Oryctolagus cuniculus: one gene and its partner. The protein of the gene in region 2 interacts with the protein of the main gene of each other region in a biochemical or structural test. Links are inferred from orthologs where the notes say so. Each region holds a gene or a part of one and is shown on either strand. Other genes may lie near its edges.

The links.
Region 1: of the proteins of histone H2A type 2-C (region 2) and MYSM1, one has a biochemical effect on the other in vitro, tested with the Homo sapiens proteins (2 studies listed by BioGRID). The link is inferred for Oryctolagus cuniculus from reciprocal best matches to the Homo sapiens genes H2AC20 and MYSM1.

The regions. Positions count from the first base shown.
Region 1 is NC_091438.1:114,362,334-114,370,069, reverse strand, and holds part of MYSM1 (deubiquitinase MYSM1), read right to left. Parts: intron 6,844-7,736; exon of another isoform or gene 6,706-6,843; coding exon of another isoform or gene 6,664-6,705; intron 5,580-6,663; coding exon 5,481-5,579; intron 2,403-5,480; coding exon 1,630-2,402; intron 1-1,629. UniProt on the Homo sapiens protein: Metalloprotease with deubiquitinase activity that plays important regulator roles in hematopoietic stem cell function, blood cell production and immune response.
Region 2 is NC_091438.1:48,063,274-48,069,639, reverse strand, and holds histone H2A type 2-C, read left to right. Parts: upstream 1-3,625; 5' UTR 3,626-3,688; coding exon 3,689-4,078; 3' UTR 4,079-4,124; downstream 4,125-6,366. Other genes in the region: histone H2B type 2-E, read right to left, coding at 2,974-3,354; histone H2A type 2-B, read right to left, coding at 4,239-4,631. UniProt on the Homo sapiens protein: Core component of nucleosome. Nucleosomes wrap and compact DNA into chromatin, limiting DNA accessibility to the cellular machineries which require DNA as a template.

The DNA.
Region 1 (7,736 bases), about 66 Mb from region 2:
GGGTGCCAGATTCTGTCCCGGTTGCCCCTCTTCCAGGCCAGCTCTCTGCTGTGGCCCGGGAAGGCAGTGGAGGATGGCCCAAGTCCTTGGGCCCTGCACCCGCATGGGAGACCAGGAGAAGCACCTGGCTCCTGGCTTCGGATCAGCACGGTGCTCCAGCTGTAGTGTGCCAGCCGTGGCGGCCATTGGAGGGTGAACCAACGGCAAAGGAAGACCTTTCTCTCTGTCTCTCTCTCTCACTGTCCACTCTGGCTAACAAAACAAAACAAAACAAACAAACAAAAAAACATTTATTTTCAGCCTTCACACCATTTTCCTAAATCATCATGTTTAAATAGCAGTATCTATTGGTTTCATCAACTAAAACAAATAGTTTAGGAAACTACTGCCATATAATTTGCAGTATCTATGCAAATTATTCTGCCTTACTTGATTATAGTCAAGACTTGAAATGAAGTCTTTCAGGAGTCAGTGGCTGGTTAAGTCCCTTTCACTATGTCAGAGGACTGCTGTGAGGCCTATACAGCAAATAAGAACAGAGAGCAAGTCTTTCTTTAAGCAGCTAAGTACCATGTAAATGACAGTTGTTCCTTGTCAGCATTCTTTACTATGCTGCCTCCTTACCCAGAAGTTGTTTTGGCATGTCAAGCATCTGCAAGATAACCATGTATCAAGAACAAGAACAAAAATCCTCCTTTTAGAATACTGCTACCTTTAAAAACCTAATGACTTAATATTATGTGGGCAAAATGAAGGCTATTGATTTGGCACATTATTAAGTTTCCTTTATGTAACCTTCCAAAGCTATAGCAGAAAGTTACTGCAAAGGAGAGGAAGACAGAACAAAAGAGAAAAACAAGGGACAAAGCAGAATCCCTACTCAAGGAACTGGGAAGCCCTCTCTAAAAATGGCCCTATATGATTCAACAGTTCATGAACTAGTAGTAGCAATTATGAGTGTTTAATGATGGCTTAATTAAGATGTCAAGATTACTTCAAATTACTTTTATCAGGTTAACGAGGTAAGAAGTTTTTTGGTTTGCTCCCTAGGCCCACTAAATAGTTCAAGTAAAATGTATTAACAATTTAGAGGGTAAATTTCACATATTAGAAAATTCCTGGACCTTGATGAAGCTGGATGAAGAAATTATTAGCATATTCCACCACAAGTTTAAAGCTGAAGGCATTTAAGACAGCTGTTCAGGTGGAGTTTCTGCAAAGAGGCCACATTTAATGATACCATCCTCTGTCACCAAATCTTTCCTTCTTTGCACTTAAAGTACATGATAAATCCCAAAAAGAAAAATTCTCTCCTATTCCCAGTACAGTAGTGTTCTACATCTGCATTATTTCTGTCCCAAGGAATTGCTTCTTGAAGCAGTTATTCATCCCTTTTCTTTCCAAGCACAAACACTCAGATGAACAGACAGATGGTATTGTGACAGCTATACATGACCAAAGCTTTCAAAAAAGTTTCACTGTGAGAAAGTTAAATTTTTCCTACTGAAATGCTGTTATGTGAAAACACTCTTATTGCCACCAAAATTCTAAATTCTGCATAGGCCTAACTAAAACACTTAAAGAGTATCAGGTTTTTAAAAAGGCATCTAAAATGTAATTTTTTCTTACCACTGATCCAAAATGTAATTTCTAATTTTCAAATAGCGTTCTGGTGTTTTAGCTTGACGCCCCTCAAAAAACTCAGGAATTGCTTGTTTTTCTTCTTCTTGAATGGTATTTCTATCTATTTCTACTTCTTGTTCTGGTGGCTTAAGCTCTTCTTCCTCGTGGCTTTCTTCCACAACATGACAAGAAGAATGAAAAAGCATTTCATTGTCACTCAAATCTTTATTTTCACAAGTCTCAAGAGAAGGCCACTGACTCGCATCATCTATCAGTCCATTTCCATCATGCCCGTTATAGTTCTGAATTGGTTTATTACATTTCTCATCTTTTAATTCAACTGATTTTTTGTCATTGTTGCTCGGTTTGTCAGTCTGTAATGTAATCTGTGAGCCTGAAAGTGTTTCCATTTCATCTTGCTTTAGATTCTTAAGATATTCCCCGGAAGATTTAAAAAAGGGGTCTTCCTGGCTATCAGATGCAATGCATTCTCCTTGATTGGTTTCATGCATACTACTACTACTAGGAATAATGTCTAATAAGAGACCACTGTTAGAATTCTTCTGGGGTGCTTCAGAAGTGAATTCATCCACCTCGTCTGTGATGTCTACTTCTTCATCATCAGACAATTTTTCAATTTTTACAGCATTCAAGTTGGGATCAGCATGTCCCCTTAAACATGATGGTATCCATGCCTCTGTCCCTTTGTCTTCACTTTTAACTTGAAGATCACTGCTACTTTTCTGATTTGGTGTTTCTTTCTCCGGACCCCATTTTACCTTATTAAAAAAAATCAGAATAAAACCTCCATAATATTAAGATTTTAAAATTTAATCACTGACACAATAAATACAATAATATACAATAATATAATTCAAGTGAGTGCATGTTAATGATACATTATACTTTTATTCTGCTTCTCTTGGATTTATAACTGTAGTTTTAATGTAAAAGATCACATTTTAAATTTCCTTAGATATATGATTAATTCATAATGTGGTGATTTCTATTAATCAAATAACCATGGTCTATATAGAACTACCATTTATTTGTCAATATTAAGTTTAAAATACGTGTCTGGCTTAGACCAATCACAATCAACCTGTAACTGTCATACTAAGAAGTTCTACAAGATATTAAAATATTTATAAAAGCTCTTTTCTTAAATGTCTAATATCTCAGCTGACTGTTTCTTTAAAGCTTTTTCTTAAAAGAATCTATCACATTTATCTCACTTATCCTACTTAGTAAATTAAAACCATCTGTCATTTATTTTATTTATTTTTTTTTTGACAGGCAGGGTGGACAGTGAGAGAGAGAGAGAGAGAGAGAGAGAGAGAGAAAGGTCTTCCTTTTCCATTGGTTCACCCCACAATGGCCGCTGCGGCCGGCGCACTGCGCTGATCCGAAGCCAGGAGCCAGGTGCTTCTCCTGTTGTTCTCCCATGCCGGTGCAGTGCCCAAGGACTTGGGCCATCCTCCACTGCACTCCCGGGCCACAGCAGAGAGCTGGACTGGAAGAGGGACAACCGGGACAGAATCTGGTGCCCCAACCGGAACTGGAACCCAGTGTGCTGACACCACAGGTGGAGGTTAGCCTATTGAGCCAAGGTGCCGGCCTATCTTTCATTTAGATACAGTAACAAAAAAACAGTTTTTTGTACGTTCATTTAATGCAGCTCCAATATTATAGCACTTACATTTTAAGTCATGCAATTACTTTCCATATCAGCTATACAGACATAGCTATCTGATAATACAACACAAGAATGATAATAAAAGTCAATGAGTAGGTACTGGCACTGTGGTGTAGCAGGTAAAGCTGCCATCTGCAACACAGCATATCCCACAGCACGCAGGTTCGAGTGCCGGCTGCTCTACTTCCGATCCAGCAATTTGTGAATGGTCTAGGAAAAGCAGCAGCAGATGACCCAAGTGTTTGGGCCCCTGCTACCCATGTGAGAGACCTGGATGTAGATCCTGGCTCCTGGCTTTGGCCTGGCCCAGCTCTGGCAGTTGCAGCCATCTGGGGAGTGAACCAGCAGATGGAAGATCTCTCTCACTCTCTCTCTATAACTCTTAATAAGTAAAAAAATCTTAAAAAAAAAAAAAAGGCAATGATTAAATATGACTTGAAATAAAAAATCCTTACATAGAAAGTTTTTGAAAAATTTTGTAAATGATTGCTATACCCAAGGGATATAACAACTTTCAGAAAGACTATTTCTAGACCTAATATCACGTCAGCATTCTAGGATTAAATATTTGGTGTTAATTGGCTTACTACGTAGAAAAAAAAAAAGAATAGCAGGAAGGAAAACAAGATTTGGACATACAAGCTGAAATATTCTCTAGCAACCTTGCTATTTATTTGGTCCCGTTTTTAATCTTAAAAATTCAGATATTTTGGATTAGATTTTATAACATACTAATCATTCTAATATTGAAATGTATCTTTCTACCACAGTCTTTCAGTAAAACTGACACTCCAAGATAAACTAAATATTGCAGTTTGAAAAGCTTGCAGGTAGAATAACCACCACATTAAGCTTTATTCTTCTTAATACCTCAACCTTAGCAAGCTGCCCCAACAGTACTTTTGTTTAAGAGGAAGTGGATGATTTATGTACAACGAATATATTCTATCACTTTCTGCCCATGCCAGTTAACACTAAGAGAAATCTTGTATACAGGGTACAGTCTACTAGCCACACTGAAAGAAAACATCAAATTTCACTTATAATATTTTCAAATTTTATATAATTATGTTCTTAGAGCAGAATATATTTAAAAATTCCAACTATCAAAATCACATAGTTGGGGCTGGTGGTACGATACATGGGGTAAAGCTACCTCCTGCAACGCTGGACTCCCATTTGGGCGCGAGTTTGTGTCCCAGCTGCTTTACTTTCAATCCAGCTCCCTGCTACTGGCCTGTGAAAAGCAGCAGAAGATGACTCAAGTGTTTGGGTCGCTGCCATCCAGGTTGGAAACCTGAAAGAAGCTCCTAGCTCCTATCTTCAGCCTGGCCTAGCCCTGGCGGTTGCGGCCAGCTGGGGAGTTTGACAGTGGATGGAAGACCTCTCGTAAGTCTTTTTTTTTCAACTTCTATTTAATAAATATAAATTTCCAAAGTACAACTTCTGAATTATAGCAGCTTTTCCCTCCAACCTCCCTTCCACCTGCAACCATCCACTTCCTGTCCCATCCCATTCTTCATCAAAATTCATTTTCAATTACCTTTATACATAAGATCAACTTAGTATATACTAAGTAAAGATTTCAACAGACTGCACCCACACAGACACACCAAGTATAGAGTACTGTTTGAGTAGTAGTTTTACCATTAATTCACATAGTACAGCACATTAAGGACAGAGATCCTACATGGGGAGTAGGTGCACAGTGACTCCCGTTGTTGATTTAACAATTGACACTCTTATTTATGATGTCAGTAATCACCCAAGGCTCTTGTCATCAACCGCATGGTTGATACTGAAAAAATAAGAAACTAGAAAAAACTGCACTTTTGTGAATCCTGTAATTTATTAAAATTTTCAATTTTTCAACACTATAAGAATTTCATTGTTACTTAACAGACTTCAAAAATCATGTTAGCATTAATGTTCCCAAAGTTCTAATTCTATTTTGCTGTATGACATTAATAACACTATTAATAAAGACATGCTCTAAAGTTTAAATAAATATTCATATAGTAGTTTACGGATATCAAACCCTTTCCGTATAAAAACTTTAAACAATAAAACTTTAATGCCTAAATTAAAGAAACATTTCTGCTTATTAATTTGCTCATTCTAAATGTATCATTAATAACAAGGATATTTATATTCTGCTTACCTTATTTTTAAAGTATTGTCTGGCATAACTCTTCACTTGTAAAACAGTGCGGCTTCCAATTAACTTTGCAATTTTGGTCCACCTTCGGCCAAATTTAGTCTATGTTATCAAAATGGAAGAAAATTACCTTTGATTAACTAATATAAGCAATTGCCACATTTAAAAACAATCAACTGAAATAATAATCCATCTTTATTTTCTGAAGTACAAATGAGGACTCCTACAATGTTCTTAAAATCAAAGTCCACATTCTTCTTTTGCAAACTTAAACTTCTGAAAATCAACTGAAGAAATTTAGAAATTCGTTTTATTATATAGCTATTCAAATAAAGATCCATCACTCTACTACCTAACTATGAATTTATATTGCATATTATGATGTTTTAAATTAAAGGTAACATCTTAAAAGATCTAAGCTACTAAAGGGAGGCAGGTTATGTTTTTCCAATTACAGGATCAACTAAACGTCCTCTGCACTAATTTCAAAGTAATATCCTACCCATATCCATTATGTGCCCCATAGCAATTAGCTTTATATGCTATGCATGTATCACAGACTATATATCCACATTTATATCTATATCACTCTATACAGGTGAACTGACTTGTGAGATCAAATCATAAAAGAAGCAGACATACCACCAACACCTCTCTATACCTCTCTAATGTCAGAGGCTGTGCACCACCTAAACTGAAGCTATAGTGAGAAAATACTGAGAACAGAGAGCTAGATAAAGCGCCCATGTTATTCTGAAGTATACAAAGGAACACACAGAATTTTAGAAAGGGCTAACTATACAAAACCTCTACAAAATCCCTAATACATACTACTCTGCCTCCCATGACAGGTCAATAACTCTTTAATTTTAATTTTTTGGAATTTTGAAAACTGTGAAAAACAAAAATGTAGTCACAACTCAGGGAAGCTGACCCTAGAGTCAGACTTACAAGTCAGGTAATCAATCATGCATGATGGTAGCAAATTATCTTTGAAGATCAAAGCCAAATGATAAACCATAATTTATATGCTTATTTCTGAAATTTACCAGAAAATCTAACATATAAATAATTTCTTAAAACTCAAAGTACTTCTGTGAAAATTATTAGTAAGTATAAATTATTTAAGATTTCTCTTAAGCAACATCTAGCTGAGATCAAATTACTGAAGAATTATTATTTTTACTGGGGGATGAAGACAAACAGGTAACTTGGTAGCATAGAGCATTTCTGGAGACAGAAGAGATCTGAATAAAGAGTGATCAATTTATCAGCGCGGTGTGCCGGCTGCGGCGGCCATTGGAGGATGAACCAACGGCAAAGGAAGACCTTTCTCTCTGTCTCTCTCTCTCACTGTCCACTCTGCCTGTCAAAAAAAGAAAAAGAAAAAAAAGAGTGATCAATTTAGATACTAGGGGCTTGGGCACTAAAAAAATTAGGGCAGAGACTTTAAAAAGAGGAGCAAAGAAAATACTGGCTAATTTCAAAATCGAGCAAAGGGATAGTCCTATGCCCAAGAAAGGAAGGAAACATCTTCCCCCATCAGCCAGAATCATGTAATTTTCTCTTCCAAGCCTATAAACAAATAGCAATATGCTTTAGAATGCTGGAGATATAACCAATAATTCCATGTTTTTTACGTAAAAAAATTCTAAGTTTAAATATTTCTTAATGTATAAGGCAACTTTCTACAAGTCTCTATATAAATAAATACACATTTGTTTAAAAATGGAGAAAATATCTCTAGAAGGTCACACACAGAAGAGATGACAATGGCTACCTCAAACAAGAACTGCTGACTGAGATGAGTGAGACTTAACACTCTCTAACTGTAGGTACCTTTTGAATTCTGAACCTTGCAAATGTAGTCTCAATAACTACCACCAATGGCAACAACAGCAGTCTCAAAATGGAACTTAAATTCACAACCTATTTGCATACATACTGTAAGAAAATGTCTAGTGGCCCATTTTCAACACAGAATGGAAAATTACTATTAGCTGACTTGCTGATGTAGCAAAACAAACTGGGCAAACAGGATGTTATGGAGTAGGCAACTCAGGAGAGGAAATTAAAGTACAGAGAAGGAAGGATGAAGGTAACTTTGTAAGTTAGGTGACATCTGGAAAGATTGTACACCCCACAGTACTCAGCCAATGTGGAACAGGAGGGACCTCCATCGTAGGATACAAATTGCTTGCTCTAACTTCTCCAGGTGTGCCTGCTCTTCAGACACCTGATCTTGCAAGACGGATAATA
Region 2 (6,366 bases):
GTCTCTCTCTCTCTCTCACTGTCCACTCTGCCTGTCCAAAAAAAAAAAAAAAAAAAGAGTGAGTTATGAAATGGTATTTGAGCTGGATCTTAGAAGGTATGGCCTTGACTGGAAAGCAAACTCTGGCCGAGCCAGACCTGGGAAAAAGCCAGCAGGTTCAGCAGGAGGTAAACAGACCATTTTGACTAGAGCAGAAAACCCCCATGATAGAACAGTGGGAGACAGACCTGTGCAAGAACCAAGAGGCAGATGATAGATGCTGAAACCAGGCTTTAAGGGGTATGCATTGCACTGCAGTTCCAGGCACTTGCTGAATGATTCTGGAGGAGTTATGCTTTCTAAGCCTGTTTCTTTCATCTGTAGAATAAGGCTGTTAACCATGGAACCTGTCTTTCTAAGGCAGCTGTGAAGATTCTGTGGGGCAGTGCCTGTAAGTCATTTAGCAGGGAATCGGGCGAACGCTCATGGTCAGGCATTCAGTAAGTACAATCACTGTTGCCAAGCCCAAGGTAAGCACATGCTGAAAGGCCTCTGGGCAGGAGAGAAATGGTCAGAGGTTGTTTAGGAGAGCAATCTCATCCGCGATGACTCCTCCAGACTGCCTTCCCTTCTCACCATCGCTGCCTCCCCAGTGACCATGCCCAAGGGGGAGTGCAGAACTGCCCACTCTGTGGGGACAAGCTGACCTGAGTGAGCTGCGGCCTCCGGAATGGGGACTCCCAGTCCCCACCATGCGCAGATTCACATCCAGGTCGCATTCTGGACGATAAAGCAGGTGGCTTTTTTTTTTTCTTTATTTTAAAGCACAGCTATTTCCCCCCTAATCCAGGGAGGAGTCCAGGTTCTCAGAGAGCAGCCCTGCTTTCTTACATCCTTTTAGCACTAAACAAGGAGCTTTTTCTCTGGTGAGTTTCTGAGGAAAGGCCGCTCTGTGGCTCAGTTTCCCTCCCTGTCCAGTGGGAGATGACAAGTCTACCTACTTTAGGAGGCTCTTGTGAGAATGAGAGAATGTTGTGCATGAATCGGGAACACATGTTAAGTGTCTGTCGGTGTTAGCCCACCTTGGTTAAGGACTGTATGTCTTCCACGTTGTTTGTAGTGCTTCTTCTTCATGCTCACGTATTTTGCAAGGACTGCGGAAAGCCTTGTGACAGCCTGGTTCAGCCCCATTGCCCATCTGGGGTAAAAGTTTAGCTGACGGCTTCTAAATATTCCTTCTCCACCCTTTCCACACATGTACCCAGTGGTGACTGTCCCTGTCAATTTCACTTCATATATGGCCGATAAAAGGATATAGCAAAGCCTTAAAATGAGTTGGGCACTTTATTAATAACAGCATCTACACAGATTTGAAAGCACACGCGCAGCAGGCTCAAGATCTCAGCCTATGATTTGCTATGTGGAGCACATCTGGGTTCACAAAACCCTTGCAATCAACTCCAGGAGCCCTGAGCAGAGTCCAGTTACTGAGCACTCAGGACCTCCCCTGGCACCATCAAGGCTCGGACAGGAAGATTCGGTATTGCGTAATTGCATCAGATACGACCAAAATACACCTGTGATCACATCGCAGAAGACAAAAGCAGCGCTCGCTGTGTGAGGGATATTGCAGCTCTGTCTGCTCTGCTTGTTAGGGCCTCCTGAAAAAGCAGCCGGGTTGGTGGGGATGAACTGAAAGCTCCTCCCAGTGTGAACAGAGGGTGAAGGCTCTTCTCGCTGACCACTGCTCTCAATTGAACGGAAACCTAAAACGGGTCACCCTAAAGCGGGGAGCCTGCGGGGAAGACCCGCTACTGCCGCCTCCTCCCGATGCAAAAAAAAAAAAAAATCTTGGCACCAGGCCTCCCCCCACCCCTCACCCGCCCCAAAGCAGTTGCACCGAGGTGATTAACGACATATTTGGTCAAGGAGCTACAAAAACATTTCCATCTTCATCGTATCTTCACATCTGATGGAAATAAACAGCGCCCACCCCCCACCCACGGAAGCGATTACGAAATTGGCGGGATAGAAAAACGAATCCGTCGATATCGGTTCAAGCCGTTTGTGTCCGCTACGTGCCAGGCACTGATGGGCGCTGAAGATACGGAGGAAAAGCAGGCCAGCAGGGCCTTTGTCCCGGTTTGAAGAAAGACCATTAACGAGAAAGCAAATGAGCCAGCGAATTTCAGCCAGCTGCGTGGACGAAGATGAAAACACACAACAGACAGGGCCAAAGGGCAGGCTCCTGAGCGGATGCCGCTGGCAGCGGTTCTTAATCCCCGAGCTAAACCACCCGTGTCTTGCAGTGACCTGGGGCAGGCTTCCCAGCACAGAGCATTAAATGCAAAAATCATTTACGGACTTAAGGAATCCTAGGACTCTCCAAGCTACAACGTCAGAGGCGGAAAACAAAGTCTTTAAGAATTCTCGAGTGGCGCGAATTTTGAATATTCATGCCGCCCAATCAGGAAAAGTCTGACCCTCAGCGGCGCGGGCTCCGCCCCAGAGCACAGCACCGGTCACCCGCAGGCCCGCAGGCCCGCAGGCCGAGCCCTCCCCGCGCCGAGCTGGCCACCCCGCCGCTTCCGGTGCTAAGCTGCTGCTGTACACAGCGGCCGCCGGACGCGCCTACTTGTGTCCTGCAGTCTTCCTAAACCAATAGCTGCAATCAGCCACTCGAGTTTAAGACGGCCCAGCGTGTGTAACAAAGCCGCCCGGCCACTGCCGCAACGCAGAGGGGTAGGGGCGGGCCATCGCCGCTGTTAGGAGTGAAGACGCACTTGGCACTCAACGCAAGTCCAATCACGCGCCGGGAACCTCGGGGTCGGAACGTCTTAGAGAATGCCAAGTACTCCACCCCCACTACGTCTGGGCTGCAGTAACTTACTTGTGCGAAGGGACTAAGGGGGGACGTTATGTGAACACGGCTCTTTCCCGATCAGATGGGTGGCTCTGAAAAGAGCCTTTGTGGGTTAGCGGCACGGCAGGGCCTCACTTGGAGCTGGTGTACTTGGTGACAGCCTTGGTGCCCTCGGACACGGCGTGCTTGGCCAGCTCGCCGGGCAGAAGCAGGCGCACGGCCGTCTGGATCTCCCGGGACGTGATGGTCGAGCGCTTGTTGTAGTGCGCCAGGCGCGACGCCTCGCCGGCGATGCGCTCGAAGATGTCGTTGACGAACGAGTTCATGATGCCCATGGCCTTGGACGAGATGCCGGTGTCGGGGTGCACTTGCTTGAGCACCTTGTACACGTAGATGGAGTAGCTCTCCTTGCGGCTGCGCTTGCGCTTCTTGCCGTCTTTCTTCTGCGCCTTGGTGACAGCTTTCTTGGAGCCCTTCTTGGGCGCGGGCGCGGACTTGGCTGGCTCGGGCATGGTAAACACCACACCAACGCGATACAGCGGGGAAAAGGAATAAGAGGATGGGCGGGCCTGATCCTCTTATAACCATCTTATGCAAATTAGGAATCAAAATGGCTTTCGTTTCCATTGGTCCGTGCAGGAAAGTTGCGTTTTCGGTAAAAGCCTGCGTAATGACAACAGCTCGACTTTATTGGCTGTTTCTGAAGCCATATTAGGACCAATGAAAAGCTCGTTCCTGACCCCACCCCCAGGGAAGCTTATAAAGGCTTTCTTCGTGGGTTCCTTTCAATCTTGTTTTGTTGCGAGGTTCTGCGCCCTAGCTGGGTTTGGTTTCTTTTTCTTAACTATGTCTGGTCGTGGCAAGCAAGGAGGCAAGGCGCGCGCCAAGGCCAAGTCGCGGTCGTCGCGCGCCGGGCTGCAGTTCCCCGTGGGCCGGGTGCACCGGCTGCTGCGCAAGGGCAACTACGCCGAGCGCGTCGGCGCCGGCGCGCCCGTCTACATGGCGGCCGTGCTCGAGTACCTGACGGCCGAGATCCTGGAGCTGGCGGGCAACGCGGCGCGCGACAACAAGAAGACGCGCATCATCCCGCGCCACCTGCAGCTGGCCATCCGCAACGACGAGGAGCTCAACAAGCTGCTGGGCAAGGTGACGATCGCGCAGGGCGGCGTGCTGCCCAACATCCAGGCTGTGCTGCTGCCAAAGAAAACCGAAAGCCACAAAGCCAAAAGCAAATAAATTTGACGACCTGAACCAAAGACCAAAGGCTCTTTTTAGAGCCACCCAAGTTGTCAAAGAAAGAGCTAACGCGCTGCTTGTTATCAGCCCTCCGCTTGACACTGTGGTGGCTCTTAAAAGAGCCTTTTGGGTGGACGGGAGTGGTGTCACGCCTAATCAATCACTTGCTCTTGCCAGGCTTGTGGCTCTCCGTCTTCTTGGGCAGCAGCACGGCCTGGATGTTGGGCAGCACGCCGCCCTGCGCGATGGTGACACCCCCGAGTAACTTGTTGAGCTCCTCGTCATTTCTCACGGCCAGCTGCAGGTGGCGCGGGATGATGCGCGTCTTCTTGTTGTCGCGCGCCGCGTTGCCCGCCAGCTCCAGGATCTCGGCCGTCAGGTACTCGAGCACGGCCGCCAGGTACACCGGGGCGCCGGCGCCGACGCGCTCGGCGTAGTTGCCCTTGCGCAGCAGCCGGTGCACCCGGCCCACGGGGAACTGCAGCCCGGCGCGCGATGACCGCGACTTGGCCTTGGCGCGCGCCTTGCCGCCTTGCTTTCCGCGTCCAGACATGACGGCTAAAAACCTGATTTCAGCTTGTTTTTCTAGGAGAGGCTATGGAAAGGATAGGCAATTTGATGTAATTTATAAGAGCTACCGGGAGGGGTGAAGGGAGGCAGTTTTATTGGCCGAGAGCGGCAGCCAATAGGAAAGCGGCACTCGGCCTTTCGGTTTGCATCCTGCGGCTGCGAGGAAATGACGGCTTTTGTATCTACCTACCAATCGCTGAGAGCCACATTAAAGCCCCTTATTTGCATGCCAGGATTTTTAAAGAGAGAAGGTGTTTTTTTTTTTTTAAATGCTTTCTTTTTCACTGAGTGGCAACATGTGGGGTTTCTTTTACTCCACATTAGGGTAATGGAACTCCATAAAAGACCCCCAAAGGACTCTCAGAGGGAAAGCCCTCCCTCGCAAGGTACCGGGTTGTGAAACCGAGTGTCCCCTGAGGCCTAATGACCGAGGCCCGCCCTTCCTGCCGCGTCACAGCCAGACTCTCTCGGTAAACATTATTACGGCTGTCTCCTGTCAGCTCAGTGCAGCCGCTGGCCTCAGAGTGGCTTCGCCCTCCCTCCGCCACCCACCTGTGCCCCTCGCCACCCACCTGTGCCCCTCGGAATCGGGTTTGGCTAACGGGCAGAATTGGTCTGCCGTCCTGCTCGTGACCTCCAGGAGGCGTCCTAGGCCGCCTTAGAATTCGTCCCCTAGGCGTTCAACATGTGCCCCACCCACCCACCACACACACACACACACACACACACACACACACGTTTCTTACCTCTCTGGCTTCGCTTGTCCTGGGCCTATTCCTCTGCCATCTCTAAAAACGCGATTCTGCTTTGACTCTGCTCTGCCTATCCCCAGGCCACTCTTCCCGACATTTTCCCCGTTTCAACTAACGCACTAGTTTGTTTCAAATGCTCAGTCCCTTCTGTCTGCTTCATGGATGCTTCGCCCTGTTGGTCCCAGCAAGCACCTCCGACTCAACTTCATGAGGCTGACGCTGTGGCCTGGCGCGTTAAAGCCGCGGCCTGCAAGCAGCGCCGTCATCCCAAACGGGCGGCAGTTCAAGTCCTGGCTGCTCCACTGCCCATCAGCTCCCTACTAATGCACCTGGGAAAGCAGCAGAGGATGGCCCAAGTCCTTGGGCCCCTGCACCCACGTGGGAGACCCAGAAGCTCCTCCTGGCTTCTGGCTTCGCGTCAGCTCAGCTCTGGCAATTACAGCTATTTGGGGGAGTGAACCAGCATATGGAAGACTTCTCTCTCTGTAATTCTGTGTTTCAAATTAACAAAAATAAATCTAAAGAACAAAAAACTCAACTGCCGCCTATCCAAACAGCAAACTCATGCAAACAACCCCTCCCTCTTGCTCTGAATTATACCAACATCTAGGACCTACTCTACTCTTCCCTTCATCTCAACAGCATGTCTTTACTGTAACTTCCTCGGCCATTTTTTCTTGCTTCCCTCATCTGCTTCACCACCCTCTTGGAACTTGGCCATGAGGCTCCACAGGCTGTCAGGCTCCACAGACCGGCAGGCGCCCTCCACCTGCCCCTGCTTCTCCCCTGAAACTCCCTCTGTCTCCTGCTCCCATCTCAGGGAGCTCTACACCCCCGACTCTGTTTTCATTCTTTCCTTAGGAGCCTATAAGGGCAGGAGGTGGAACGCTTTGGACAAAAGGACACACTTAAATTCTGGCCTTGAAGACTTTTTCTGAAGCTCTCTTTGGTATCCTCACCTTTATT